Linked DNA regions of Mus musculus: all the other regions are reported to be linked to region 1. Evidence: microRNA targets listed by miRTarBase, many of them from high-throughput screens and not tested one by one. Region 1 holds a microRNA gene; each other region holds the end of a gene's coding sequence.
What was found. The annotated mature microRNA mmu-miR-467f reads AUAUACACACACACACCUACA and lies in region 1 at 2,003-2,023, shown strand. An mRNA with a match to its seed (bases 2 to 7 or 8) in the 3' UTR can be bound and repressed. Matches are read on the target gene's strand: a 7mer-m8 pairs with bases 2 to 8, a 7mer-A1 pairs with bases 2 to 7 and ends in A, and an 8mer does both.

Region 2: the mRNA of Azi2 is a reported target of mmu-miR-467f. Seed matches in the 3' UTR shown: 7mer-A1 at 2,649-2,655.
Region 3: miRTarBase lists Fhod1 as a target of mmu-miR-467f. Seed matches in the 3' UTR shown: 7mer-m8 at 2,983-2,989.
Region 4: miRTarBase lists Bcas1 as a target of mmu-miR-467f. Seed matches in the 3' UTR shown: 7mer-m8 at 1,217-1,223.
Region 5: the mRNA of Uggt1 is a reported target of mmu-miR-467f. Seed matches in the 3' UTR shown: 7mer-m8 at 2,924-2,930.
Region 6: miRTarBase lists Aldh1l1 as a target of mmu-miR-467f. The part of its 3' UTR that is shown has no 7-base or 8-base seed match.
Region 7: the mRNA of Pias1 is a reported target of mmu-miR-467f. Seed matches in the 3' UTR shown: 7mer-A1 at 1,316-1,322 and 7mer-m8 at 1,182-1,188.

The regions. Positions count from the first base shown.
Region 1 is chr11:69,634,442-69,637,441 of GRCm38, reverse strand. It overlaps Mir467f (microRNA 467f), which reads left to right and starts at 1,923; the gene lies at 1,923-2,042. All of the region lies in intron 1 of Fxr2 (fragile X mental retardation, autosomal homolog 2), which reads right to left.
Region 2 is chr9:118,061,904-118,064,903 of GRCm38, reverse strand. Azi2 (5-azacytidine induced gene 2) reads right to left here. Exons shown (of 8, transcript NM_013727.4): 8 at 1-3,000. The coding sequence ends at 2,778. Cmc1 (COX assembly mitochondrial protein 1) reads left to right here. Exons shown (of 4, transcript NM_026442.3): 4 at 1-382. Among named protein-coding and RNA genes, the nearest start is that of Gm51660, 10 kb to the left of the region's middle.
Region 3 is chr8:105,326,249-105,330,549 of GRCm38, forward strand. Fhod1 (formin homology 2 domain containing 1) reads right to left here. Exons shown (of 22, transcript NM_177699.4): 18 at 4,139-4,301; 19 at 3,847-4,039; 20 at 3,599-3,761; 21 at 3,321-3,521; 22 at 2,912-3,231. The coding sequence ends at 3,149. It overlaps Tmem208 (transmembrane protein 208), which reads left to right and starts at 129. Exons shown (of 6, transcript NM_025486.3): 1 at 129-226; 2 at 803-898; 3 at 1,922-1,981; 4 at 2,074-2,210; 5 at 2,360-2,444; 6 at 2,524-2,809. The coding sequence starts at 221. The coding sequence ends at 2,661. It overlaps Lrrc29 (leucine rich repeat containing 29), which reads right to left and starts at 20. Exons shown (of 7, transcript NM_001368408.1): 1 at 1-20. The coding sequence starts at 2.
Region 4 is chr2:170,344,927-170,349,227 of GRCm38, reverse strand. It overlaps Bcas1 (breast carcinoma amplified sequence 1), which reads left to right. Exons shown (of 13, transcript NM_029815.2): 12 at 1-46; 13 at 1,080-2,237. The coding sequence ends at 1,154. Among named protein-coding and RNA genes, the nearest start is that of Bcas1os2, 9.3 kb to the left of the region's middle.
Region 5 is chr1:36,140,855-36,145,155 of GRCm38, reverse strand. It overlaps Uggt1 (UDP-glucose glycoprotein glucosyltransferase 1), which reads left to right. Exons shown (of 41, transcript NM_198899.2): 41 at 905-4,301. The coding sequence ends at 930. It overlaps Mir6897 (microRNA 6897), which reads left to right and starts at 843; the gene lies at 843-904.
Region 6 is chr6:90,597,941-90,602,241 of GRCm38, reverse strand. Aldh1l1 (aldehyde dehydrogenase 1 family, member L1) reads right to left here. Exons shown (of 23, transcript NM_027406.2): 22 at 3,857-4,056; 23 at 3,071-3,355. The coding sequence ends at 3,300. Gm15756 (predicted gene 15756) reads left to right here and starts at 2,302. Exons shown (of 2, transcript NR_157234.1): 1 at 2,302-2,625.
Region 7 is chr9:62,879,029-62,883,329 of GRCm38, forward strand. Pias1 (protein inhibitor of activated STAT 1) reads right to left here. Exons shown (of 14, transcript NM_019663.3): 14 at 1,049-3,233. The coding sequence ends at 2,940. Among named protein-coding and RNA genes, the nearest start is that of Calml4, 23 kb to the left of the region's middle.

The DNA of each region.
Region 1 (3,000 bases):
AGAAATATATAGACAGTGTCTCATAGATAGGTGGATGGATAGAAAGAAATAATAAGTTGCCAGATAGACAGAGATAGAGAAGGAAGGAAGATAGATAAGAAGGAAGGAAGAAAGGAAAAATAATAGCTGCCAGGTGGTGGTTTTTTTAATCCCAACACGCAGAGGCAGGCAGATCTCTAACCAAGCCAGCATGGTCTACAGAGTGAGTTCCAGGACAGCCAGGGCTACAGAGAAACCCTATTCTGGAAGAAAAAAAAAAAAAAAAAAAAAAAAACACTAGATAGATTAGATAAGGGGGGTTTGGCTAGAATATAGTTCCGTGTGATGTGTGCCTAGCAAGTATAAAGCCCTGATTTCAATCCTCAACATCAAAAGCAGTAAGAAAGCCAGATGCTTCAAAAAAAAGGCTAACAATATTCAAGGACCAGCCCTAAGTACAGTAACTAGGATAGTGGCAGAGCTTAGGAGAAAATGTACCAATAATATTCTAGAGAATACAGAGTTCCCACCTCACAGACCTGGCCAGTCACCACTTACAAAACTATTCTTTCCTTATAATGAGAACATCTAACCCTGAATATTGCTTCAGATACGACCTGCTTTGGCTGTTTGGGGGGAGCCTGAGGCAGGAGGGTCTAAGAATTGGAGGTCAGCTTAGGCTACGTGCTAAGTTTCAGAGTAACCTGAGCTATCAAAGTATAAAAATCCTGTCTCTATATGGGGAGAAATGTTTTTAAAAATGAAAGAAGGGAGGAAGGGAAAGGGAAAGGAAGAAAGAAGGAAGAGATCGGAGGAGGGCTACCTGGCTGAGGATGTACTTCAGTGGAAGGCTAAGATGAGACCTCAAGTTCAAGGTTAGCCTTATCAACAAAGCAAGGCTATACAATAAGACCCCATCTTAACAGGTTGGTGGTGGCCTAAACCTTCCAAGGCCAGCCTAGCCTACAGAGTGAGTTCCAGGGCAACACAGGATATCCTGCCCCCCACCCCAAAAAAAAACAACAAAAGACAGAGGCAGGCGGGTTTCTGAGTTTGAGGCTAGCCTGGTCTACAGAATGAGTTACAGGACAGCCAGGGCTACACAGAAAAACCTTGTTTCAAAAAACAAACAAAAACAAAACAAAACACATTATGAAGCTGGGGTTGATGGTGTGCACCTGTAATCCCAGGTCTTAGGAAAGGCCACAGTAAACCAGGAGTCCAAGGTCATCCCGGGTTAAAAGCCCAAGCCACCTGAAACCACCTTAACAAAACACATCACATCCTGACAGAAAAGCCAAGTTTGATAGGATAATTCTAAAATAACTTAGACCTCAGATCTGATATTTACTGGCTCTAGAAAAATCACAGTAAAACAGTTTTGTGAGAGGAGAAAAGAATCTCCCCAAACGTAAAAGATCTAAAAAGTTAGTATCCCTTACTCACACCAAAGTTTGCTGAGTCATAAATATTAATCAGCAAGGTTTGAATAGGTAAGTATCTACATTACACTTAGGCAATGTCTTTAACTCAGTCATGGAGCAGAAAGTGCTGAAGTGGCCAGAATACAAAATCTACACTCAATATTTGGCTTTTATTAACTCTATACTATCAAAGAATCCTGTCCCTGCTTCCCTCAAATCTATCACTGCTCTGGCCCACAGAATAAAAGGATAAAAGAGAGACTTTCTGTTGGATACCCATATGTGTAACAGAATTCATGTCCCAGCCCAACCATGTCATACAGTTAATTGGAACTGAGCACTCATCTGTCCCAGCTGTGCATGGCTCCTGAGCTTCCTTAAACCAAATGCAAATATCTTATCTTGATCTCATACTCAATTTAAGAACCACTTTTCAAACTAAGAGTAGTTGTGGATGCTTTTAATCCCAGCACTCAACAAAGGCAGACCTATCCCACAGAGTTTGAGTTCAGGGCAGCCACGGCTACATAGAGAAATCCTGTACCCAGAAATCGAACGGGGGTGGGTGTGTGTGTAGGTGTGTGTGTGTGTATGTATGTATATACACACACACACCTACACACAGCTTTTTTGGAATTTTTAACATTTTGATGTTAGAAGGATACAGATGAAGACTAACATATCGAGGAAAAGAGAGCATAATAAAGAGTACTTTTTGGGTTTGTTTGGGTTGTTTTAGACTGGATTCCATTCCCCATGCTGGTTTTGAACTTCAACAATCCTACTTTAGCCTTCTAAGTACTAGGGTTAGAGTATGTACCACCATACCCAGCCTGAGGAGACTGTTTTAACAAAGGTAATACAAATGTGGGTGAAATAGATATTAAAACATTAATGTGTCCTCTCAGAAGCCAAAAGAATTAAAGACTTTTGCTACAGAAAACAGAAATGTTAGAGACACTGTTCTGGTCTGAAGAAAAAGTACCAAGAGTTAGGAAAGTGACAGAATCAGCTAGGAGCCTTCTTCAGCTATACACAGACTAGACAGGTAGACATCATCAAGGATACACAGGAATACAGAAATACCAAGCTAAAAAGACCGAGACTTAGTTGAGAAGCTGCATTAAAGCTAATAGGTATGTGCACCCATAGGCACTGGGTAAAGAACTTGATCAGAAAAGGGAAAAAAATGGCCTGGCCTTTATAATGGATAACTAGCATATCAGTTGAAGTGAGGGTAGGAACCATCTACAGGGGTAGGGCAAACCTAAGTCTTTTTTCAGCTACAAAAAAGATACAATTTCATAGTAGAGTCAGAGAAAGTTATTTCCAAGGGCATAAGAAAGTAGAAGTTCTACTAGGGTAGGGGGACAGACAACCTGAGGAAACCTGAAGAAAAAGGGGCTCTTCTCACCCATCTCATGCTATGGAAATTCCTCTTTCTCTCCAGGATGAAGAGTAAGAGAGGGACCAAACGTGTCCGGGACAATTCCACTCATAAAAGTCAAAAGATGTTCAGAACCCCACTGATCAGAAGAAGAAAATATCTGGGGCGTGGGATCCAGAATAGACTCAGGACAGATACAGAAGATGGGGT
Region 2 (3,000 bases), not on the chromosome of region 1:
ATGGAGCGCCTTCAACACTGCTAACGGCAGCAGTGAACCAGAGCCTTCTTCACTCTACCCCTTAGTGTGCCAGCCACTGTGGCCAGCAGTCTCTTACGGCGATAACTTAGCCAGCACTGCCATCAGAGGCTTATGTGAAAACAGATGAGATTTGGTGAATTATTTTACTGAAACCTTTGACAGAAAAGTTTCTGCATTGTTTCTTGATCTTTTGAACTTGGCTACTGAAAATACTGTATAATCTTGGATTTTAAGAAGTTGGCATTGTTAGTGTGAACTTCTGTTTTGTGATATTGGGGGTTTGGGAGGAACTGTGGTAAGTTTCTCTTTTAGTGTGTTACCCTAGTCTGAGCTTTTTATATTAAAAACTATTTTAAAAAAACCAGGAAGGCAAGATTTAACTTTGGCTCCAATCCTATGAAAAAAATTTCTCATTCAAATGAAATGAACCTAGTCAATGAATGCATGTTCAAGCTTCACAGTGTACTCACCAAAGAACTACTTTACTTTTGTTTGAAACTCAAAGAACCCATTCTCCCAAAGCACAGATCAACAGAAGGTGACTGGAGGCCAAGCAGAGCAAACTCAGGAAGATACTGCAGCACGGGGAAAGGCCAAGCAGCCCATTATCTCTGCGCTGGCCTTGTTGGCACTGGCACATTTCTATTGGACAGGGCTACAGTTGTTTTCAGTGACTCAAAGAAAAGGTACAGTTACTACAAGAAGCCAGTGACATAGTAACAAGATTTCTGTTGTGTGTCTCGAAACCAGTAGGTACTAGATAAACTGTGTTCCCATTCACCGCTTGCCTGACTAGTGTACCTGCTGCAGATGTGTCTTTGGATCCCCGGTTTTTACAGGTTCATGGGGCAGTTCTATTTTGGCGTTGGCTCAATACAATAAAGGACCAAGAGGAAGGAGCATGTGGCTACTGTCGGTTGTGTCCTAATATTAATGAGTTACAGGTGAGCTTAATTAGATTTAGGGAAGCTTGTTGGGGTTGTCAGCTAGTATGAAAAGGACCAACGGGACTGTCAATTTTAATGAATCACAAAATACAGCTGTTACCATTGACTAAGTATATATTTAAACATTTTCTGACCAGGTAAGAATATTTTAGGGTTTCTCTTTTCTAGCTAAGGAGTCTTACACAAGCTTTTAACACTTTGACTGTTAACACCCATCAGACTGTTCTAGCAATCCTTTTTGATAACGGTTACTACTAGTTAGAGGGGATTCCCTCCATTCAGAGTATGTTGGAGAAATAAAATTAATACCAGACTTTGGAAATATACATAGGCAAGGACAGTATTTCACATCCAATTCCATTTTAAAAACAAAAATAATTTTAATTAAAACAATTTCTTGGCATTGTTCAAAAACATTATAAGACTCTCTTTACAAAAGAAAACTTCTCATCTTGGTTTGAAAAAAAGCAAACCATTAAGCTACATCAGTCCTAAGATGATGGACAGCCTCCGCAGTCACACGAGAACTGCGTTTGCTTTCTTATTACACAGTCAGTTAGTGCCTTCAGCTAGAGCCTGGGCTTGTGTATTTGTTTTATGCATATTGGGTCTTGTTGTATTACTTGGCAGGAGCCTGTACTCCCTCGAGTCAGCTGTGTTCATTGGTCAGAACACATTCCAGTATCTGACATCAATTCCATTAATCACGGACAGGCATGAGTAAGTGACTGAGATAACTCAACAGTGAACAGTGCCTGGCTATGCATTCTATTCAGTGATACAAGGTCAGAGATCCTCTGAATTCAAGATACATGAAATGGCACTTAGAAAAGGATAAAGTCTTCTTACATCAAACAGGTAATACATGATTACTAATACTCTTAATGCTTCCACCTTGAAAAAATTTAGATGAATTTCCACATGAAGCCATCTTTGTTATTTCTTTACTTATTTACAAGTGATTGGGCACTTAGAATGAGTTGGGATATTTCACAATTGTACAGCACAAGATTTAGTTCTAGATGCAGCTAATTAGCATTTACTTTCTCAAATGTCATATCTAACAGTGTGTAAGCTGCTCTGTGTAAAACAAATAGCTGTCCTGCTGAAAATGACCACACGGGAGGTTCACTACACATCACTGAAGAGACTGCCCTGTGAGATGCTCTTTCTTCTTTTAACTGGACATTGTATAAGGTTATAATAGTTTATTCACATACCACATCATTTTTAACTATTTAGGATTTAAATATACTGGGAAAAAGTTGGCTTCAATAGTCATTAATTCAAGTCTTAGAATTCAAATTGCACTTTAAATTTGTATATACAAACATTTTACTTAAAAATGATTTTAAATCTTAAAACTTGAAACAATAGCATAGAGATGTCATAACCTACTTTTATTCCATTATATTTCAAATCTTTATGTATCAGGAATTTACAGAAGCTCAACCTACTCTTACTTGCTTCTTGATACAATCTAAACCAGCAGACATGTTTTTTCTTTTATACTAAAGGCTGCTTTTTATTTAATGATTGGATATTTAGGCAGGTCACATACTTTATAAAACCATGCCTAAAATTTTCATTTCCACTCTATCCAAGAAGCAAAAATGTATAATTGTTATCAAAGGTACAACTGGAGGTTCCCATACTGGAAAATCAATTACATATATAATGTTATACAGAATGTACAAATGTACATACTGGAGAACTGCACAAGCCATCAATCAAAGTCCACTTTCAGTTTGAACAATCTCTTGGGAGAACCCCTGAGTCCGTGTCTTCCTGATCAAATCACAAGTGAAATTAACTTTTGTAAAGGCAGTTCTGATTCTGTTGATCCAGGTAATGCAGTGGCGGCAGGTTGGATAAAGGTAAGATTTTGCTTTTATTTTCACCAAATGCTGTCTCACTTGATTTAGGAGGGCTTGGGAATACCCAGGAATTATCTTCCAGAGAATTTCTCCCATAGGAGCTGTGCTCTGGAAAGTCTGCACCGTCATTAGGAACCAATCTCTCGTTATCTGTC
Region 3 (4,301 bases), not on the chromosome of region 1:
ATCGCAGTTCTGCCGTCTCCGCCCCCACGCAAGGTTTTCTGGGAAGTGTAGTCCCACCGACTCAGGGGGCGGGGCTTCGGAAGGAAATGAAATCCACTTCCGCCCAGGAGCGAACGATTGCGCTCTTTACCGGAAGTGCATGTGCTGCCGATGTGGTGTCTACTGACTGCAGTTCCAGTTACTCGCCCTTGTTTCAGTGGCTGGGTGTCTGCTGCGCACCATGGCGGTAAGGGACAAGGCGTGGTCTGCACCGGCAAAGCTTTCCCGATGTTGGGAAAGTAAAAACAGAAGGGCTCGAAGGCATAAGGCACTGGGCCAGAGAGGGGCGCCACCCAATGGACTGTGCTAGACCGAACGGGATGCGGGGAGAGTGGCCGTGCAGGACTACACCAGGACTAGTGTTGGAGGCTAGGGCGGGCGCGGGCGAGGGTAGTTGCCAGTTCCAGATCTAAACCACTACCCCAGAGGGACGCCATTAAGTTCCGCTGGAGTTTTCCCGGAGAGGATCTCAACCCAAAGCTGAACCTTACGAGGAAAGCCAAAGAAGATACTAACGTAATTTGAATTGTTTTGGGGTGAGCATTAGGCGATCATAACTGGGGGTACAGTAAAGTCGGTGTCCTAACTATATTAGGAAGATGGACTAGAGGAGTGGTCGGTATCTCAGGGATTGCTAGGGTTGACAAAGCACGCTAAGGACTTGGCTGCGGGGTAGATAAAGCTGCAGGTAACCAGGCTGGTACAGGGAGTGAGGAGGACTGAGGCAAAACAGCTCTGACAGCATCTCACCAACCCTCCGCAGCCCAAAGGAAAAGTGGGTACCAGAGGGAAGAAACAGATATTTGAAGAGAACAAAGAAACTCTCAAGTTTTACCTTCGGATCATACTGGGAGCCAACGTAAGTTGCTTGCCTTGTGCTTTCTCTGCCCTCTCATTCCTATCTGATTAGGAGCGCTGGCAAATGACAGCCAAGGCTCCAAAAGAGAACGTTGTAAAGAAATGAAGCCAGGCAGACACCAGCCTGTAATCCCTGCACCAGGGAGGCTCAGGCAGAAAGATGGGCGGTTTGAAGTTAGCTTTGAGTAACAAAGAAATCCTATCTCAAAAAAAAAAATTAAAAATAAAAATAAAAAGGGGTGATGGGGTTAATAAGTGAAGCTGGCCATAGTGGCATATAACTGTATTTCTAGCTATTTGGAAGACTGAGGTCAGAGTGTTGAGTGGTAACCAGAGCCCCACAGAAAGACTGAAGTCTCATTCGAGAGAGTGAGAGCAGGTGTAGCGCCGTGGTGGAGCCCTTGGCTAGGCTCTGCCAGCATCGCCAGCAAACACTGCCCTCCTCCCCCCAAAGTATCCAGGGACTGAGTGGTCAGAGCACTTGTCGCTCTTACAGAGGACCTCGGTTCCACTCCAGGGGCACCACATGGTAGCTCGAAACCTTCTCATTGAGTGGATCCAATGCCCTCTTGTGACCTCTATGGTACCAGGCACAGCGTCAGGCACATGGTGCACATAGATACATTGCAGGCAAAAACACTCATACATGTAAAATGTATTTTAATTTTAAACCATTTAAAAAAAAAAAGTAGCCAGGCACAGAAGAAATATGAACTAGACATAGAAGCAAAACATGAAGAAATGAAGGGGAAACAAAGCAAAACAACAATAAATAAATAAAAAGTCCCAGCTGAGATTTGTTATACTGAGGCCATACCAAGCTTATACATGTTATACTAAGGCTACTCTTCCTGGACAGATATGAGTCTAAGCGCTATCTGACTCAGAAAGCAGAGGTCTTCCACCACCAGGTTTCTTCCTCCTAGTCTGGCCCAGTTCTCGGTCAGAGTTGAGGAAAGCCCATAATTTGCGGGGTGGGGGGCTGGCCTTCAGCCCTAACCTGATCGTGTTTGTGTGCTTGCAGGCCATCTACTGCCTTGTAACCTTGGTCTTCTTCTATTCCTCTGCCTCATTCTGGGCCTGGGTAAGTATCCTGGGAAAGGAGTGTGCACGCGCGCGCCCGTGCATGAATGGTCAGTGGTGCCAGCCTGTGACATTCTCACTCTTGTCCTACAGATGGCCCTGGGCTTTAGCTTGGCCGTGTACGGGGCCAGCTACCACTCTATGAGCTCGATGGCTCGGGCATCCTTCTCTGAGGATGGGTCCTTGATGGATGGTGGCATGGACCTCAACATGGAGCAGGGCATGGCAGAGTGAGTGTCCCCCATCGCCAGCTCAGGTGAGCGGCCCCAGGGCTGGGGCGCTGGGGCCCACACAGCCCAAGACTCACAACTAAACAGTGTGGAAGGGGCAGGCCTTAGGGCCAACATACCATCCTTGGCAGCCTCCCTTTATCCCGCAGGCACCTTAAGGATGTGATCCTACTGACAGCCATTGTTCAGGTGCTCAGCTGTTTCTCCCTCTACATCTGGTCCTTCTGGCTTCTGGTACGTGGGCTGGAGTGCTGGGCCTCCCCACTGCTCACCAGTCTTTGCGAGTGGCCTCACGTGGTCTTTTCTCTCCTAGGCTCCAGGCCGGGCCCTTTACCTTTTGTGGGTAAACGTGCTGGGCCCCTGGTTCACAGCAGACAGTGGAGCCCCTGCACCAGAGCTCAATGAGAAACGACAACGCCGACAGGAGCGGCGGCAGATGAAAAGGTTATAGCATCCTTAACTGAGGCTGTAGGCTGCTGGGCACTGGTTGGCTCTGTTATGCTGCGTGGCCCCATGCCTGGAGCAGTGAGGGCCTAGTTTAAGGGCCAAAGCAGCCTGGATTATAGGATCACTAAATAAATAGTTTCGAATGTGGCTAACGGCCGTGTGGGTGATGATGCACGAAGCAGAAAGAATTTTAGTCTCGGGATGCTCCTGTCTTGGCTCAGCAAGGCAGAGATCTTTAAAGAAGAGAAAGGCTCTTATAGATTAGCTAGGTAAACTTTATTTTGTTCCAAATAAGGAACTCACACATGCAAAATACATGTACGTGTATACACACACACACACACACACACACACACACACACACACACACCTAATACTGTTCACAATACTGGTTTCTGGGTATAAGCTTCTGAAACCAGGTTTCTGTTCCAGGCCCTTTCCGCACTCCATCTCTTGTGCATGTCGCTGTCATGTCCAGGCGTGGTAGCACCTCACACCTCTAGACCAGGAGCTTTGCTTAGTCCCAGTGCCTGCACCAGGTCATCTCCAAGTCCACTCTTCAGTGTCCGTCTCACTGCAGGGACAGAGCAGGGTTACAGGGGCGGGAGAGGGGGCAAGGGGAGGTATGGGGAACATCTTGCAGCTTAGTAAGGGGATGCTCACAGGACTTTCGGTTGCCACGAGAGCGCTTCCTCTCCCGAGCAGCTAAGGCTCTAGGACCGCTCTTGGTAACTGACTGCACCAGCAGGTCCATTATCTCATCTGACGTGTCGGTGGGTAAGCCGGAGGCTGCAGTCTCCTCAGGGGATGCAGCGGAGGGCCCCACTGCTGTGTGTGAGACGGGGGAACTGCTCTGGACCATACCTAAGGGAGAGAGCAGAGGGAAATCAGACAAAGGTGGCTTTAGAACACATTCCCCTAGCAGCAGCTGTGAGCCCTACCTCTGCTGCGTCGGCTGTGTGTGGCATCTTCCGGCCTGCTGGTAAGCAGGCTCTTCATGCTGGCATGATTGTCAGTATCACCCTGACCTGGCCCGCTGCCCACAGCCACTGGGACAGACAGGTTATTGGGGGCCTCCCCAGCCACACCTGAGAACTTCTCTGTCTAGACAGGGAAAGAAGGGTGGTTAAGAGCAAGGGGAAGGAACCATGAGGTGGCAGGCAAGCCCTGCAAGGGGGTGGGCACTCACCTCGGTAATCATGCGACCACGGGTCTTGTTGCGCTCACGGTATGTAGCCCGCTTCTGCTGCTGCTGCAGTACCCGTTCCCGACAAGTCCGATACTCAAGGGCAAACTCTCTCAGTGTGTGGCAGAACTGCATGATGCGTACATCCCTTGCTGCCTGTGGGGTGTAGCCCAGGTAGAGCAGGAAGGCATGGAACCTAGGCAGGTTGGAAGGAGTGGGAGACTGGATCATGAGTCTTCCTGGTGTTTAAGGGATGGTGGTGGCAGTCCTACCTCCCTCTGGCTCCTGGCCCCACCTATTGCAGACTCGGCGATGCACTACTCTTAACATGGCTACCCGGCGGGTACACTGGGCCAAGAAGTGGGTGAGGCGAGCACGCAGAGCTGGGGAGAGCTCGTGCTTAGCCAAGCTCCGGAGGCTGTCCTCGGCAGCCTGGCTCCGGCACTCCAGCTGCCCTA
Region 4 (4,301 bases), not on the chromosome of region 1:
GTCTGAGAAGCGGCGACAGTCCCTCGGGGGCTTCCTGAAGGGCCTGGTAAGCAGATGGGGTGTTCGAGGCTTCTTTCTCGGTTCTTGGTTAAGGGGTGTGGTATTCAACTCCAAAGTGGGAGCTCACCGGAAACCTGATGAACAAATGACTCTCCAGCATCTGCTGGGTACCAGGCACTGTTCTAGGCACAGAGAGCAGCAGACACACAGGCTGTCCTGGAGCCCAAGGATAGAGGCAGGAAGGATGAAGATGCCAGGTGTGGGGGACAGGATGATCTAAATAGTAGCAGGGACAGCGTGGAGGAGAGCAAGACCAAACACCTATGCTGCCAAGCCACTCCACTGCAGTTCTGCTCTGGCTGCCTCCTAGCTCTGTGTCCTTGGCTGAGTCACTCAACCCAACCCCTTCGTGCCTCAGTTTCCCCCGTTGTCAAATTGAGGTCATGGTAACAGCTGCAATTCTGTTGCAGTTTGCTTTCTATTGCTGTGATAAACACCATGACCAACAGCAACCCGTGGGGGAAAGGGTGAGACAGTAGTGGTGCAAGACTGCACGCATCCACCTGCCACACTGGGACAGTAGTGAGGTGCAACCTCCACATGCCGGGGCACTCGAATGGTCCCGAGGAGGCAGCAGACTGAACCCACAGAGGAGGAGGATGTCAGGTCAAACAGAGTAAGGTCACTTCAGATAGTGCTGGGGAACAAATCAGGGCACCATTTTGTTAGAACCTGAAAGAATGAGCTATTGACAGTGGCTAGGGATGTAGAATGAACTAGAATAGCAAGTCCCACCCTGGCCTCTGACCCCTGACCCCCGACCCCAGGACTGCTCTAATATGTGTCACACTTTGAGCACACTTTATCTGGGAGCACCTCTCAGAGTTGGGTTTGAGCACTCCCATTTTAAAATCAAATCATAATGTGTCTAGGATTTCACAAACCCAGGAAGCAACGTCGCTAGGTATTAAAGCTAGACATCCGCCCATGAGCACTGTCATATTTACGTAGAATAAGCACGTGATAAGTCCCCCTCGCTGCTGTTGGCCTCACGCTGGCTGCTTTATGTTTTTCTCCAGGGACCAAAGCGGATGTCGGATGCTCAGGTGCAAACGGACCCGGTCTCCATCGGACCAGTTGGAAAATCCAAGTAAACAAAATCACCCAGTTCCCACTGGGTTCTCCTCCCACTCCATCTACTGTCCAGACCCACACTGTGTATATATTTTTCTTCTTCTTCTTCTGGTCAGCCAATGAAATTCTGCCTACAACTTCAACCTGAATTGTTGTAGATCGAGGTGTATTATTTACGTCTCTGGTCCAGTCTTTCCTGGCATTTAAGTGTAAAAATGGCTTAGCAGGTTGACCAGTTGATCCAAGGGAGCTGGTGAGTGCCAGGTGGGGGAGGAAGTAGGTAGATAAAGGCATTTGTGTTAAGTTATGAAAAAATGGCAGGTATCCAGTAAGATGCAGAAGAAAAGTGCTTATGAGACAAAGAATATCTGGATTTGTAGCCACTCTTGCCACATCCTCTAAGCCTGAAGAGGGGAAGGGAAGACTGGTTTATTTCATTTCACACTTGGGGGAAGGAGGACTCAGGGCAGGCATCTACGCTGGGCGTCTGCCAACTTTTGGAACAGGATGTGTGGGCTGTAAAGAAGAATGGGCAAGAATTGGTTTTCAAATAGGGTCCTTGGAAGTTATCAGTGAATGGGGAAGTGATTTGCTGGAGAGGGCTTGCTAGGATTTGGGGAAACAATTACTTCTGGGGCACAGGGACAAGGGCATGAATTCCCAACTTCAAAAGGGAAACAGCAAAATGAAATAAAGGTGCAGGTTCATTTTGCAACACAAGGGGGCGCCAGGATCTCTGCTTTTTCCCTTTGCATCCGGTACCCCTAACAAAGATTTGTTTCTGCACTATTTCATTATTAATGTTTCTCAGATGGCTGAGGGACTTGCTTCATCTGTTCGGTCTGACGCTTATCTCACGCCTGTCTGTAATGTCCTAATGTTTTCATAATGTGCTCTGATAAAAACCCTCCCCTAACCCAGTTAATAAAAATTGACAGATTATGCGAATACTTGAGGTGGTTTTTTTTTTTTAATTCTTGTACAGAGAACTGAATTGGACTGTGAATCCATTAAGATGGAATTGCCAAGTACCATATGATTGACTGATAGTCATCTGTATTGTACCTTTCTTTTCCCAATTTAATAAAAAAATATTACATTTTAGAAAAGCTTTTGATTCTAAACTTCAAGTGCAGCTCGCTGACAACGCTCTCTACAAGGGCTGCGTCTTTGTAAGCAGCTGGAAGACAGTGTACACTATGAATGCCCACACACGTGTCCAGATATACTCTCACACACGACTCTGTGTTCGTGAACATTCATACTGCAAACTCATATAGGCAGGAATACATTGGTGTGCACATATGATCAGTTCACAGCCTCTGCCCTAGCAAACCAGGTTTGACCTCCAGTCTTTCATAAGCCAATTAAAAGAGCCAAATTAATATTAAAAAACAGATTCTTCCATGTGGCCACACTGGGAAGAGGGAGAAAGATTCAAGAGTCTCTCCTGCCTCCCACAGGCTGCCTTCAAGGTCCTTCAAGTCGAAAACAGGACTGCATAGCCAAGCAGTTCAGCCCAGGGGCGGTTCCCTGCTCACCTCTACCTCAGCTCCAAGTCTCTCCTAGGAGCAGTGATGCTCTCTCCAGTAAACTCCTCCTCCAGCCCTCTCCTCCCTCCCTCTCCATCCCCCACCCCCACCCCAGGGCTTCAGCCTTTTCCTTCTCCTCCTGGGGTCTCCTGGGGAAATTTTAACTTTCTGAGATTGGTTGTTTCCATAGTCTATAGTCAAAGAGGATCGCGGGTGTCCCTTTAGAATATATTCATTCTTGCCAGACTAGCAAATTTGCACACACACACACACACACACACACTGGCAGGTTTTACACACACATGCACGCTCATGCACACACACACACACACACACACACACACACACGCACGCAGAACATGAGACTGTCTCACAGGGGTCAGAAATAAACATTGCCATCTATCTTGTCCTAGCGTGAATGAGAGCACAGGAACCACACCTAGGACAGAACAGACTGGAAAACTGGTAAATGTATCCAGAGAGCAGCCATGTCTGTGAGGCCCCCAGATATGGAGGAAGTAAGGCAGTGTGGCCTGGGGCCTGGGGCCTGCCAGCACACTGACTGGATTCTGGGTTTCAAATACAGATCAGCAGTGGTTTCCTTTAAGCTAAACTTGTTTCCTGGATCCTCAGGACCTGATTTGGAAATCACTGTCTGTTCCTTGCCGGGTTCAGAGTCCCGTACCATGCTAGAAGGTTTTGCTGGAAAGATTGGGGTAGGGTGCTAAAAGCACCTTGGGAAAACTGGAAGAGGGGGAGAAGTGGCCACACTACCCAGTCCTTCTGAGTTGACACCAATGAGACCAGCCAGCTGTCAGTTCCTTTGTCTGCAGATCCCTGGGGGTGACGCCTGCTGTGACCTTTTGCCAGCCTCTGGGCTAGCTCAGCCTGTAGAGGAAGTTGGCCAGTTTCACCTTACAGGGCACCGGCGCCTCAGGCTGAGATGAGAGACATTAACAGGCAGGATTGGGAGGCGCAGAAGCAGTGGGGAGTGACTGACTCTGGCCACCAGGCAATAGCAACCTCCAGTTTCTAAATTGGGATGGGAGAGGGGTTGTCTGAGAGAAGCTCAGCAAAGCCCCTCCCGGGTGTTTATTCCTGGTCCCTCCCTTCTCCTAGGCTGAAGAAGAGGGCACTCTTAATGAAATTGTGGTTTGCTTTTGTTTTTATGAAGGCCAGGAAATTTAAGCCACAAACTCAGTGATTTATTGCTGGGACCGTAAACCCAGCTGTAGTTTAAGAAGCAAGTTTTGTGCTTCCTGTGAAGGTTGCGTTTTCCGTTGCAATCCTTTCTCTGATGCAGAGTTCACTAACTGCCCCAGCAAGGCACTCCCTAAATCGCACAGAAAGTTCACAGGACAAAGAGGGGGCAAGAAACTGAGAGCTCGGCCCACAGAGCCCAACCAAGCTCTGGCAGGTGGAGTGAGGAGTGAGAAGCAAACCTGACAGGCACCGAAACAACCCAGAATCCTAGCCCCAAAGAAAAACCAAGTAAAGACGTGCGTGCGGGAGGAGAGGGACAAAGGTGCCCGTTGTCACCATGAGTCGGTTAATGATTCGCTGATTTGTTTGTAGGTGCTCAGGGAAGTGTCTCCTCTCTCTTGCCAAGAAGACGTGCCTTTCCCAAGGATGGAG
Region 5 (4,301 bases), not on the chromosome of region 1:
TACTGTTTTAAGAAGTTAAATTCATTATGTAATTACTTATAGATAAATGGACAAAGAATATGAACAGACTATTCAAAAGAAGAGCCATATATGAGGAATAAGGATACAGTGATGAAATTAGAGTCACCATTAATATCTGATATGTCAAAAAAATACAGGTGGAGTGGTAGTGCAATGCATTAGGGGGCAGGGGTGAGACTGGTGAGTGAGCCTTGCCGAAACTGTCCATGTGTCTGGAAAGCCTTGCTTTAAAAGCAGCAGGTCTCTTACAAGGAGCCTTGAAAATGCTGCACCAATGGGCCAGAGAGGTGGCTCAGCAGGAGAAGTGCTTACTTCATGACACGAGTCCTCATTCCCACGTCTCTTGTCAGAGCAAAGGAGAGAACTCACTCCACAGAGCTGCTGTGAGCACGCATGCACACCATAGCATGTGCACACAGTCATGGTAAAGTGCAAGTGCATTGTGCAAGAATGCCTCTACTGAGGCTGCATCTTAGATAACTCCAGGAAAAGCAATACACACGGAGAGATGTACTTTACTGTTACGTACCGATCAGCAACCTTAAAACAGTTTAAGGATCAAAGAACAGCTGCCCTGGCTCACAGAAAGAATGTGTAAGTGCAGAAGATTTCTGCACACAGCAGTGTGTGGCCCAGAGCCAGCTCTGCCCTGCTGGAGACCCCGAGAGCCAGCGCTGCCCTGGTGGAGGCCGTGTATAGCCCAAGGGCGTGTCAGTTCTTAGAGCTAAAAATGTCTTCTTCTCTTAGGTTCGCTTTCAACCCTTAATACAGAAATAGCCAACACCAAGCTTCTACAGACCATCTGAAGCTACAGTGCTGTGCTGGGGGCAGTGTCACACGCTGTTTTATGACGTAAGTCTCACGGTCTGTGTTCTTCCCCCAGGCTCTCAGAAGCATGAGGAATTATGATCTCTGGAGGAAGATGGGAAACCCACCTTGACAGTTTGGACTAACTGCTGTTTTCTCTGATCTTTCGATACGACTGCTGATGAACGGATTGGGCAGGTGTACCACACCTATTGATCTGAGCATTGATTTAGACTACTGCACCCTAGTGGGTGCTAGATCCTTGGGGCTAAGGCTCTGTTGGATTTGTACCTCAGAGGAAGACAAGTGGCTGGTCTTCTGGGACTCTTCTTCTCACCAGAGGGAGAAATGCCGGCAGCAACTGCAAGAAGCCCAGTCCTTCGGTGCCCACAGCCCAGAGCACACACTGCTGTGCTGGCCCAGAAGCTGGGCAGAAAGGTCACCATGTTCTTCCTTACCTCAGTTTACCTGCAGCCCTTGCTGCAGTGCAGATGCCCACCCTGTACCAGGTCAGGCCGGCAGATGCTTCATCCATGCCTCAAGGTCTACGCCAACATGCTTCTCACGTCTCTTCCCCTCCCCACCCCCCTTCCCAAGCACTAGGCTTGTTGTTTAATGGAGCCCAACCAATAATCATGTGTCTTCAGGGTTGGCTCAGTGCAGTTGCTAAGCAAATCAGTCTTCAGGAGAAACGGGGTGGTGTGGATAAGGCTGGAAGAAATGGCAGGTAGTGGAGAGTGTTGGGGTGTTCGATGGAAGACAAAAACATGGGCCGTTCTCTTCAGTCTAGTACCCAGTGAACTGTCCAGGTAATTGTTTTGTAAACAATTTTTCTATTTATGAAAATGTGTGCTTTTTCTTCTTACTTTCTAAAAAGCTGTTGGTTATCAGTTTCCTGGCTGGGCACAGGCGTCCTGAGTCCCTCAGTGACCGCTCTCAGCGTGCTCAGCCTCCGTCTGGATGCACCATACTGTCTGCCCTTTCCCTTGTAGAGTTTTCTCTCAGACCCAGGGGATAACTTTGGGTGTTTCTTCCCCCAAATGCTCTCAGACCTGTGACCAGGAATGACTCTGTCTCTGGAACTCGGTTTCCTACACTCTGTCTTTCCCTTGTGCTTTGGCTCTGAGGGTCCCCTTTGGCTTTCGAGACTTGCCGAGGTCTGGTCCAGTTCTAAGGTACTGCTGCTGTCTGAAGCAGCACCCTTCACTGCTTTGTGTTCACAGCCACAGCCCAGCATCACCTCGGGAGCAGCCTGGGCTGAGGAGCCTTCCACGTGTTGTTAACCTGGCTGGACAGGTGTGGGTGTGTGGTGTCATCTCTGCCCAGGACTCAGGGATCTACAGCAGAGAGTTAGTGTTGCTGGGCACAGGGTGTGGCTCAGTGGCAGACAGAGTGCTTGTCTAGCAAGCCCAAGGCCTTCTGTCTGGTACTGTATCTCCCCAGCCCCCCCCCCCCAAAAAAAAAGACTGAATATGAGGAATGAGTACTGTGGGTAACTAAGTTCTTGCCTGTCCAAGCTAGGTAATATGTGTGTTACCATGGAAGAATGGCCTACAGGAGCCGTGGTTAGGGATTTGAGTGGGCAATTGTTAAGTAATAAGTAGAGACAGAAAACTGGATTGGGAATTCAGAGAACCAGCATTAACCCCCTTACCTCGTCAGCTGGAGCTCCCACTGAGAGTCCTGGGCAGAGCACAAGTGTCCCCTCAGGTCAGGAATCCACATAAGAGAACAAAGAGCAGCACTAAAAACAACATCATTTAGTTCGGTGCTCACGACACCCCAGAAACGAGCTGGGGGGCTGCTACCATCGGTCGGTCAGCAGGGTTTTCTCCCTCTCCCTCTGCAGGCGCTTGGGTAGCAAGGACAGGCTGTAGCGAGCCCTCTGACCTTGGAAAGGTGTCTGGGAATAAATTACTTCCCAGCTGTTTCAAGCGATGTATTTTGACTCTTGGATTATCAAAGTGTTTTGTCATTTGTCATAAAGTCAGGGAAGGGGCACACATCCCCAGACAAAGGGCCATGGAGGATACGTTTGAGACAAACATGTTCCATAGCTTCTTAGCTTAACTAGCCCTTGACATTTATTGATACAGTGTATATTACAACATGAATTTCAAAAAATAAAAAAATTACCACACATATATCAAGTAATATCTCCCCCCCCCCCATTTTCAAATCTAAAAGTTAGCTTAAGAGCCAGCCTTTGTTCAGGCTTCATGTCCACCCTGGATTAAGCTCTCAGGGCTGCTGCGCCCGACTGTGAGCGGAAGCTGTCTTCCCAGTGCCCTGGGAGCCTGGAGTGTTGAGCAGGAATAGTCAGTGCTCTGAGATGCTGGCCCGGTGGCCAGGGTCCTTCTCTTACCAAATTATGTGTGCCTCCTCTGAGGAAGAGGAAGGCATGGGTCTCCTATGGCCCTTTAGTCCCTCGTGGGTCACTACACTGACATAAGTCATATTCAGAGCTGATGCTGGCTAGGCCAGACCCTAAACTAAACCCTTCTAAAGCTGTCCAGGCCCCCCCTTTCCTGGTCCTTCCTTGCATCCTGTGGATTAAATCATCTCTACAAACTAAGCCACTGCCACAAATGGGCTGCTGCCGGCAAGTGGCCCTGGAAGGGTGTCCCTGTCAGATTTCACCTGACATTCTCACTACGAAAAAGCATGTTGTGACTGAAAAGAGAGATGAGCTATTCTCCAAGAAGCAGGAAGTGACTGAGCAGACAGGTTATTGAGGCTCCTGGAGAGCTCACCGCCATTCTTGGCCTGCGAATAAATGGTTCTTTGACCTCCTGTCATATAGCAGTAGAGTGTTTCCTTTCTGAATCACTAGGGTAGTGTGACCTGTGACAAGTCAGACTGTGCCGATGTGAATCCATGAAAAGCGGCCCTTGACTGGACCTGGGGCTGTGGGGCACAGCTCTCCAGAGTCCTGGGTTAGAAGTATCCTGGATGCACCCATGTCGAGAGTGGTAATGTGCTGGTTTCATAAGATAGTTGGCGTTGTTACCCGGGCAGAGGCTACATTTCTGGTTGAGCATGGTCGTCTCGGGGCGTGCATGTGTGCACCGTGCAGGGCCTGTCTGGTCAGGAGCAGACTTCATGGCAGGTATGTTACCTGGCTCTCGTCTGAGTTGCTGAAAGATGAGCTGAGAGCCCAGTGCTAAAGAAGGAAGAAAAGAACAAGCAAACAAACAAACAAAAAACAGGAAACAAACTTGACTGGCATAGTTTAGGACTGGTCAGATTTGGTCACCAGTATGAAGTCAACTCCTCTTGTCCGCGTGTCCTCCATTAAATTACCCTTCTAAAATTACCCTTCCTAGTTAGACCCGCATGCTTCAAGGAAATGATGCACCTGAGGCGTTGGGAAGGCGCTCACTCCCATGCACTTTTCTGGGGAGAGTTCATGGAAGGCTGCCTAGAGGGACACGTGCTGGCAGTACGGAGCACGACTTCTTAAGAGAGTTGTT
Region 6 (4,301 bases), not on the chromosome of region 1:
GAAAGAGTCGGGCAGTGCCAGAGTCAGAAGGCTGGGCATGCTTCTGATGCATTAGCAAGCCTCTCTCTCCCTACAGGTCCTGAGCTGACACTGGACTGACTTTCAGAGACAACGACTTACAGCACTTGTCAGTGTGGACTCTGCGGTGGCCTCAGCACTGTTGCTGTTCTGTCTGGAGGAGGACGGTGGGAGCCAGGAGCAGCTGATCGGCCTGTGGGGCCACAGTGGGGACAGCTTGCATGTAAGTTCTGCTGCCGTCTGCAGACCTGATTTGCTGCAGTCCTCAGGGACAGCACCCAGGGAGCTTAAAACCCCCTCCTCTCAGGACTGACCTGATGCCTTGAGGAAACTGACCTGATGCTAAAGATAGGTTTAGCTGACTGCACACGAGGAGGAGCTGGCAAGGGGCGGGGGTTATCCCAGGGCAGCTGGGAGAGCCAGAGCACAGGGTCTCCTCACAGGACCCAAATCTTTCTCCTTGGGACCTTGCAAAGGGCCTGAATGATCTCATTGGTGGTGGTGGGGAGGGGGGCGCAGCAGATGTGAAATGAAGAAATGTCAGAACGGAGGCCAAACCTTGTGGCATATTTTAAATGTTACATGGAGCACATGCAAGATACATACAATGCGTAGAATAACAACTGCAGATTACTAACGTGTATGTGCAAACACAGGTGAAGAGGCTAGAACCCAGAGCCCCACACACCAGCATGACTGCTCCCCCACTGAGCTACCCCCCCTTTAGCTGGCTGTGGGCATGTGGTAAAGGGTGCAGACTGTGGGATGTTTCTATTTCCAGCCCAGCTGAACGTGAACCCTGGGCTCACAGACTCAGCTTGCCTTACCTGAGAATGAAAAGCCTGTGTTTAAAGGCAGAAAAATCCCTAAGCTTTACAAGATGAAAAGGTTCTGGAAAAGGAGGGAGGTGGCCGTTGGGAATGACAGAGTGGGGTTTAGTGTTACAGTGCTACATCCTTATCCTGCCTTAAAATGGGCAGTGGAAGTAAACACACATCTTTCCCTTCCACGGGCATCAGGAAGAAAGGCCGGATGTGCACCCTGCCACCCAACACACACACACACACACACACACACACACACACACACACACACACACACACACACACACAGACCAAGAACAAACCTCACAGACACCTGTAAGAAGACCTCTGAGAGGCTGCAGCCTAGGTGCAGGGAGCCCTGGGGAGCAGCCCACTTTACCCTCTATATGGAATAGAGCTTTCATGTAGAGGGCATGGTCTGGATCTCCCATTAGGAACTGGTGTCCTATAGCTGTGGCCTGAAAGTGAAGGCTTCAGAGATATTCCCAGAGACTCAGGACCCGGGTTTCTGTGTCACTTCGCATCAAGGGCTTCAAGGGTCTCTTGGTTTGGGAGGAGAAAAGGAGCTTCGTAGCAGCCGCAGGTCCCTGAGCAAGCTGGCCTCTGTGCTTCAGTGGGCTAGTCCTTCACTGGACTACAGCATGTGCAGTACAAATGTGTGGAGAGGATTTAGAAGCCTGCATGGCACGCAACATTCGACAAGCTATTGTGGTTACCATTGCTACTACCAGTGTTCACATGTGGGAGTCACACAATCTACTGCCCCATGTCATCTTGGTACTGGGATAAGGTCCAAGAGCTTTGCTGTCAGGCAATGTCACTGTGCACGTCACAGCAGAGTAAACTCTCATAATCTAGATGGTCAAGGTCACTCACTGAACATGATCTACTAGGGACATCTTGCACACACACCAGACAGATAAGGTTGCTGCAGGTATAACACTGTAACTGGTTTCAGCACACACACACACACACACACACACACACACACACACTCCACTAATGGACTAGAGAAACGGCTCAGGAGTTAAGAGCTTGCTGCTTTTGTAGGTGACCTGAGTTTGATTCCCACCACCCAAATCTGTCAGCCTTCAACTCCCTGTAACCCTGATTTGATATCTTTTATATCCTCTTCTGATCTCTTCTGGTACCTGCGTGCACGTGCACATAAACACAAACACAGAGACAAAAAAAATAATAAAATAAATATTTTTTAAAAAACCATATACACCGATTATCACTTAGTGGACACATGGCCAGTGACAGTGTCACTGTGACCACCCAGTTTCCTATTCCAACAGCCATGTGGTGGGGTTTACACGGCCCCATCACGTATACAGGATGAAGTGTTTATGTCACATCGCTTGTGACATCATACATCACATCAGTTGTGACGTCATAGGTGGTAGGAATTCTCAGATTTGCTACTCTGGAATCAATATTAGGTATGTGGCTTCTCACTGACGAAAATGTTACTCTGAGGCATGTGCCCCACTTAAGAGAAGGGCAGGGATGCGGAGGAAGTCCGGGATACTACATAGGCCTGAAATCTTTGCGACTGATCCAGGTCACTGCCTGCCTGGCCAGGGGAGTTAGAGAAGAACAGAAAGGCCTTTAAAGAATTTTGGACCAAGAGAGGCAGAGCCAAAGAAAGGTGGTAGTGGTTGGCATGCCAAGAAGAGAATGTTGGGTAAACCAAGGCAATAGCAAATCTGTTGAGATGTGGTATGTGGGACCTCCAGAATGAAGAAGGTACAGAGGAGAGGGCCTTGGGCACCCACGGGTGAGTGCATAGGAGTCAGAAGCCTTGCAGGGGCTGTGCTCCAGGCTGGGGTGGTGTAAGATAAAAAGAAATGCAGATGGTAGAAGATGGGAGTGCTGTCCAGGGAAATGTCAGGCTGGGTGGAGTCCCTGCTGTAGACCCCAGGCTACCATTGTGGCTGTCCAAGTCCACTGAGTGAGAACCCGGGTCCTGGCAGAGGAGACTGGGGTGCTTGATGGCCCAAGGCTCACTCCCCAAGTCTCATTTCCTGTTTCTGGGGCGCACCCTCTTCCACAGCCTCTTGTACCCATTCTGCTTTTGGAGGTGTGTGATGTGCATTTCCTCCTGTGTCCCACTAAGGGGTCTCGTTCTCTGAAGGCCAAGTGATGCTACATGCTCAGGACTCATGGTGACCACTGCCTCTGGTTCCATACGAGGCATCCATAGACAGAGCAGTGACACAAAGTGTAGGCGACCTCTGCTCACAATTTTTATTCATGGGGGACATGACTGCTCACTCCACTTGGAGCCACTTCTGATTGTTCAGAGGGTGTCCTGTCACCAGCAGGGGTCCAGGCCAAGAGCTCCAGCAGCTGAAAGGAGCAGTGCTGGGGACAGGAGGGTGCTAAGTCACCAGACAGGGTCAGCACTCCCTGAGGTCAACAGGGTACAGGAGAAGTATCACAGTCTTGGCTTCAGTACTCAAAAGTCACAGTCTTGATCCGCAGGTACTCATTCAGGGCCGCCTCTCCTGCAAGATAGCACCCACTGTTGGGACACCTTATGGGTGTGCAGGGGACCCCTCCGGGGAACACACCTGTGAGTAGCCTGGCTCTCTACAGATGAGAAACCAAGCCCTGAGGAAATCATGCACCCAACCCAGGCCATCCCTGTAGTAAGCTGTGGGCTCGGGCACCAGTGCAGGCAGGAGAATGATCTGGGGCAACCATTCTAGAATCTTCCCTGCTACATTGATGGTAGAGGAGGTGGTATGGATGCCCTACTGGCTATTGGCAGCCAAGAACTTATCCTCCTGTCCTCCTGTGACTAGAATATGTTATACATACATATCCTTTCCACTGCTGTCTCAGCAAGTACATCAGTCCCAAGAGTGTTCCCTCCCAGCTAGAACTGACCAGCCACCAGCTGTGTTGATCAGTGTGACACCCCAGTATTGGGGACAAGACCTGGCCCTTGGTGGCCTTTGACAGGTGTTTGCTGGAAAGCAGTCCCACAGACAGGGTTTCGTTACCCAGGTCTTTGCCAAATCCAGACTGCTTGAATCCTCCAAAAGGTGCGGCCACATCGGTCTTGTTGTATGTGTTGACAAACACAGTGCCCGCCTGCAGTTTGTCACTGACATACAGGGCCTTGTTGATATCCCGAGTGAAGACACCAGAGGCCAGGCCAAATTCTGTAGCATTGGCCCGAGATAGCACTGCATCCACGTCCCTGTGGGGGAAATCCAAGAACTCCCTGAGAGATGCTCAGAGCGTCCATTTTTGGACTGGAGACAAGGCAAGATCAGAATCTGCCTCCACAATGTTCCTAGCTCCCTTGATTCCCACCCATGAGATTCTAAAGAAAAAAAAACATAAAACAAAACAAAACAAAAACAAAACAAACAAACAAACAAAACCCCCAAAACCAAAAAACTGTGCAGAGGCCAGAGCAAGCCTGGAGGAGAAGAAGCAGGC
Region 7 (4,301 bases), not on the chromosome of region 1:
TTAGTGATTCTTGAAGTCAGTAATGTAGATGTGTAACATCTAAATTAGCAGTGGAACAACTTCAATACTCAACAAAGTATGCATGGTTAAGTTTCATATTTAAAAAAATGTGTCCAGTAATGCCCACATGGTAAATTAAAAGCCACCTCTACCCTCCTGGCTGAATGGCTACTTTATTGATGGTGTGTGCTTACAGAAAGACGGGAGCACACACACGATACTGTAGAGAACACATGCCAGAGGGAGAGACTAAGGAAGGAGCTCCTGGCAGCTTGCTGAATCAAAGATGCTGAGAACATTATCTGTCCACAGCCTATTAATCAAGGTTGGCAGGGCTGGGGAGTGAGGTCGGCCTAAGGAAAAACGACAACAACGGGACAAAGTGACCATGCGCTTTTTCTTTTAATGCAGGAGATAAAGTGGTGTGTGGCTCTAATAATTATTCAGGGTTGTGAAAGTCTCTGACTGAACTTGACCACATGCAACATTTTAGAACGTCAACACTGAAGAAGTGAACTCCTCAGTAAATGGAAGGAACTAAAACATACAGACAACCAAACGGCTTGTTCTCCCGTGGGGACATGACCAAAGCCACAGGGCATCTATTCCTCCAGTTACCGGCTCTCCCCTTAGGCTGGTACAAGGCAGGACACCGAAGGAAAGTGACCCCTCTATAGCTGGCATGAAGAATGCAGAGAGCTGGTTTAAACTGGATTATTTTAAGTTTGTAATTCAGCATCAGACACAAAAAACTATGCATCAGTATCCTAAAACTACTAACAGTAACCAAAACCAGACCAAACCAAACCAAAAACACCCAAACAAAACCAAGAACAAAGAAAACTATTCATTTTACCTCAGTTAAAATAATGTTTCCTATTGCTATGTTAATAGAAACACCTCAAAATTTCAGTGATTTCCACTATAATCCCAATTTAGACAAATTATGGTTATCTGAAGTGAGTCTAAATTAATACAGTAATGAGAGATGGTAGAACCTGTATTCATAACACCAGATGAATTTAAAAACATAACTATTTCTGGTTTTAACTGATAACAAATGTCTTGTTTTATTGCGAATTGTTTTGTGACTCTAACACAGCCGTTTCTGTGTGGAACACACATGCGTAGGGGAAGACGATGATGTTACTCACACGCACTTGTTTATAAATACATATATATATACACACACACACACATATACATATCAACACCAACTTTTTTCAAAAATTCAAGTCGACATTTTAGTAGCAGAGAGACTATAAAATAGATATTATTTTTAGATGCCACGCTGTCATGTGAACCACTTCCTTTATTATACAACTGAAGACACAGTCATCATGACTTCTACCTGGATTAATACCTACCGGTCCTTCTGTTATGGATGCAAGGCTTGAAAACAAGTTTACCACACACAAAGATGGTCCTTCCACAACTCTGAAAACATGAAGGTGGGACATAAAAGCCAGTGCAGGAGCTGGTGATGGTGTGCCCTGGCTCTCTGCAGTTACACCTGCATCCTCCATCAGTTGCCATCTATCTCCCACTGTCAGAGCATGCTTTCTTCTCTGCGGACTCTCAAGTATGAGAAGTATTTTTTCCTTCCTTTGACCCTTAATCACCTCCTGAAACAAATTTTAATATATTTACATATTCTGCTATTGAGAGTAGGTGAGACCAATTGGTTCTTGAATTTAAAAAAAAAAAGGCTTCCTATGTCATGCTTTCACTAAAGGTGAAGGAAAAAAGAACACGGCTAAGAAAGGAAGTATACTCGGAGACAGAAAACCAAAATAACTAAGGTTATTTTTGAGTTTCAACTATTTATCAGATAGATTTGGTATGGATCCACATGTGGGCTGTGCTGTACTGTTAACTTTAGGATAACCGATTCTTTCTTTCCTTCCTTCCTTCCTTCTTTTCTTTCGGTGGAACGGAACGACCTCTGCCAGCTCCACACCCCACGGGGCTACGGGGGTTCTTTCACATCCCATTTTGGTATGAAGATCCTCAAGGAAAACTTGTTACCCTGTTGCCAAAATGCAAGTGCTCACAGCCTTGGATTACATACAGAATACTGGCAATTCAGACTTAGAATCAACAGAAGTGTATTGTCATTCGAGGGCCTGCCCACAGACTGCGCATCCAAGCAGCGTTTGCTCCAGCACTTCTGGGAAACACACTCGTAGAGGGTAGACAGCAGATCACAGAGGATCTGGGATGGAGAACATGCACCTAGGGAGAGTTGAGAAAGATGCTCACACAAGAGTGATAATAACCAAATGCAAACTGAGGAGGAGGGGCGAGTGACGACAGAACAGCACATACAGGTACACAGGCGCTCTTGCGCGCACGCGCGCACGCACTCACGCACACAAGCTCTGTCTTGAAAACAAAGGGTATGCAGTAAGATAGACGAGGCTCATAACTTAAGGCTGGTAAAATCTACGCACACACAAACAGAATCCAAGTCTGTCACTTTTAAAAAATGGAAATCAAAGCTATCCCAAACCCATCCCCACAACAAAGCCCACAATTTAAACCTCATACATGCAATTGTTTCCGTTATTGCAAGAAAGATAATGCCATTGAAGTAAAATAAAACCCAAACCACAGGACAAATGGTGAAGTCTTCAGAATCCAGAAAAAATGAACTGAAGGTTTGTGGGTGCTTGTTTTTTCTTTTTCTTTTTTCTTTTTTTTTTTTTTAAACAAGTGTTTTATCAGACAGGCAGTCTTAGATTTATATACAAAAGTAAAACTGAAAATATAGTTTTGTTCTCTGTACATTTCTTTTAATTTTTTTTTCCCTAAAAAAAAGGAAAAAAAAAACCACGCTTGTATACTTTTCTAAACAGGATAAGGTAAAACAGAGCATAGAGTTCTCTTCTGCCAAGTCATTTAATCTGGGATGGGGTGGGAGCAGCAGGGTGAGAGCGTCAGTCCAATGAGATAATGTCTGGTATGATGCCAAAGATGGACGCTGTGTCTGCGCTGCTCCTGCTGGCCACACCATGGCCATGGCTCTCTCTCAGACTGTTGGAAGACACAAGGCTGCTGTTGCTGCCGCTACTGCTTCCGTTGGTGGCTGGCAGAGATGTGCTCCCTCCTGCACTTAGCTGGTCGAGAAACATCTGCGAGGAGGTATACGGGAAAAACCGGGAGGAGTGCAGGAGGTCCTGGTCATCTGAGACCGCCGCTGCAGCTGCGGCTAGCAGGGAGGTGTTGTAATGCTAGGAGGGACCAGAGACAAAACACTCTGTTACAATCAGATGCACCTCGGCGTACTCTTCTCAGCAGAACAAGGCTCCTCAAGTGACAACACATTCTGTAGTAAACGACTGGTCACTATTACTGAGAGCGCTTTGGCATGGTATCTGAGACTGGAATGACATTTTTGATTGTGTGTGCATGTAGTTTGTATTGCATGCAGTTCTTAGCCCTCTGTTTCTGAGGTGTTCAGAAGCAGTAGGAAGGATACATCCCACATTTCCAATGGCAAGTTCAGCTTGAGAACTGTCTCACAGCTGCTCAGCTGCTCCCAGGCTGGGCTGCAGCTCGGTGCAGCCTGCTTCTGCTCTCAGCACTGTAGGTGCTGGGCAAAGGGTTTGCGCACATGAACATCTCTGAGCTGGGAAGCGCAGGAAGAACTTGCTGTAAAAACCAAGCAATGTCCCACCTGCGTGGGGCACTCTGAGTCGGGTGTGCGGAGCTGCAAGTCTCTCCGGGTCAGGGAGCACTGCGGAGTGGCTGTGAAGGCTGAGGACAGATCTGTGCACTATGTGGGCTTTACCAGCACTCTGTGCTTAGACCATTCTATATTTATTAAAAAAAAAAAATCCCAAAGCTATCTTTCTTTAATTTTACTTTGTTTTAAAACATTCATAACATACAAATTAAACACAATGAGTTCTAACATTTTCACGTGTATATGTCTTTTAACCATAACCACTTCTACTACTTTCTCTTGCTCTTTCTTCCCCTAGCTGGTCTCCTTCCTTTTCCAACAGTCCACTTCAAATGTCAGTGTTGCTTACAGAGCACAGACAACTTACCACTGGCTATATCACTGAAGAAAATGTCTCCCCCATTAACCATTAACTGCCTACAAATCTTAGGCTTCTGACTACTTAATTCTTTATAATTAAACACTTAAAACATGAATACACCATATGGCTATGCAAAAAATTCCTTTCTTCCTATCTATATAGGAGATATAGTTATGTATTTTTCTAAAAAGACAAATTCATCACACACACCCTCCCTCAGGTCTACACAGGTCAGGCAGGGGTTACAATCAG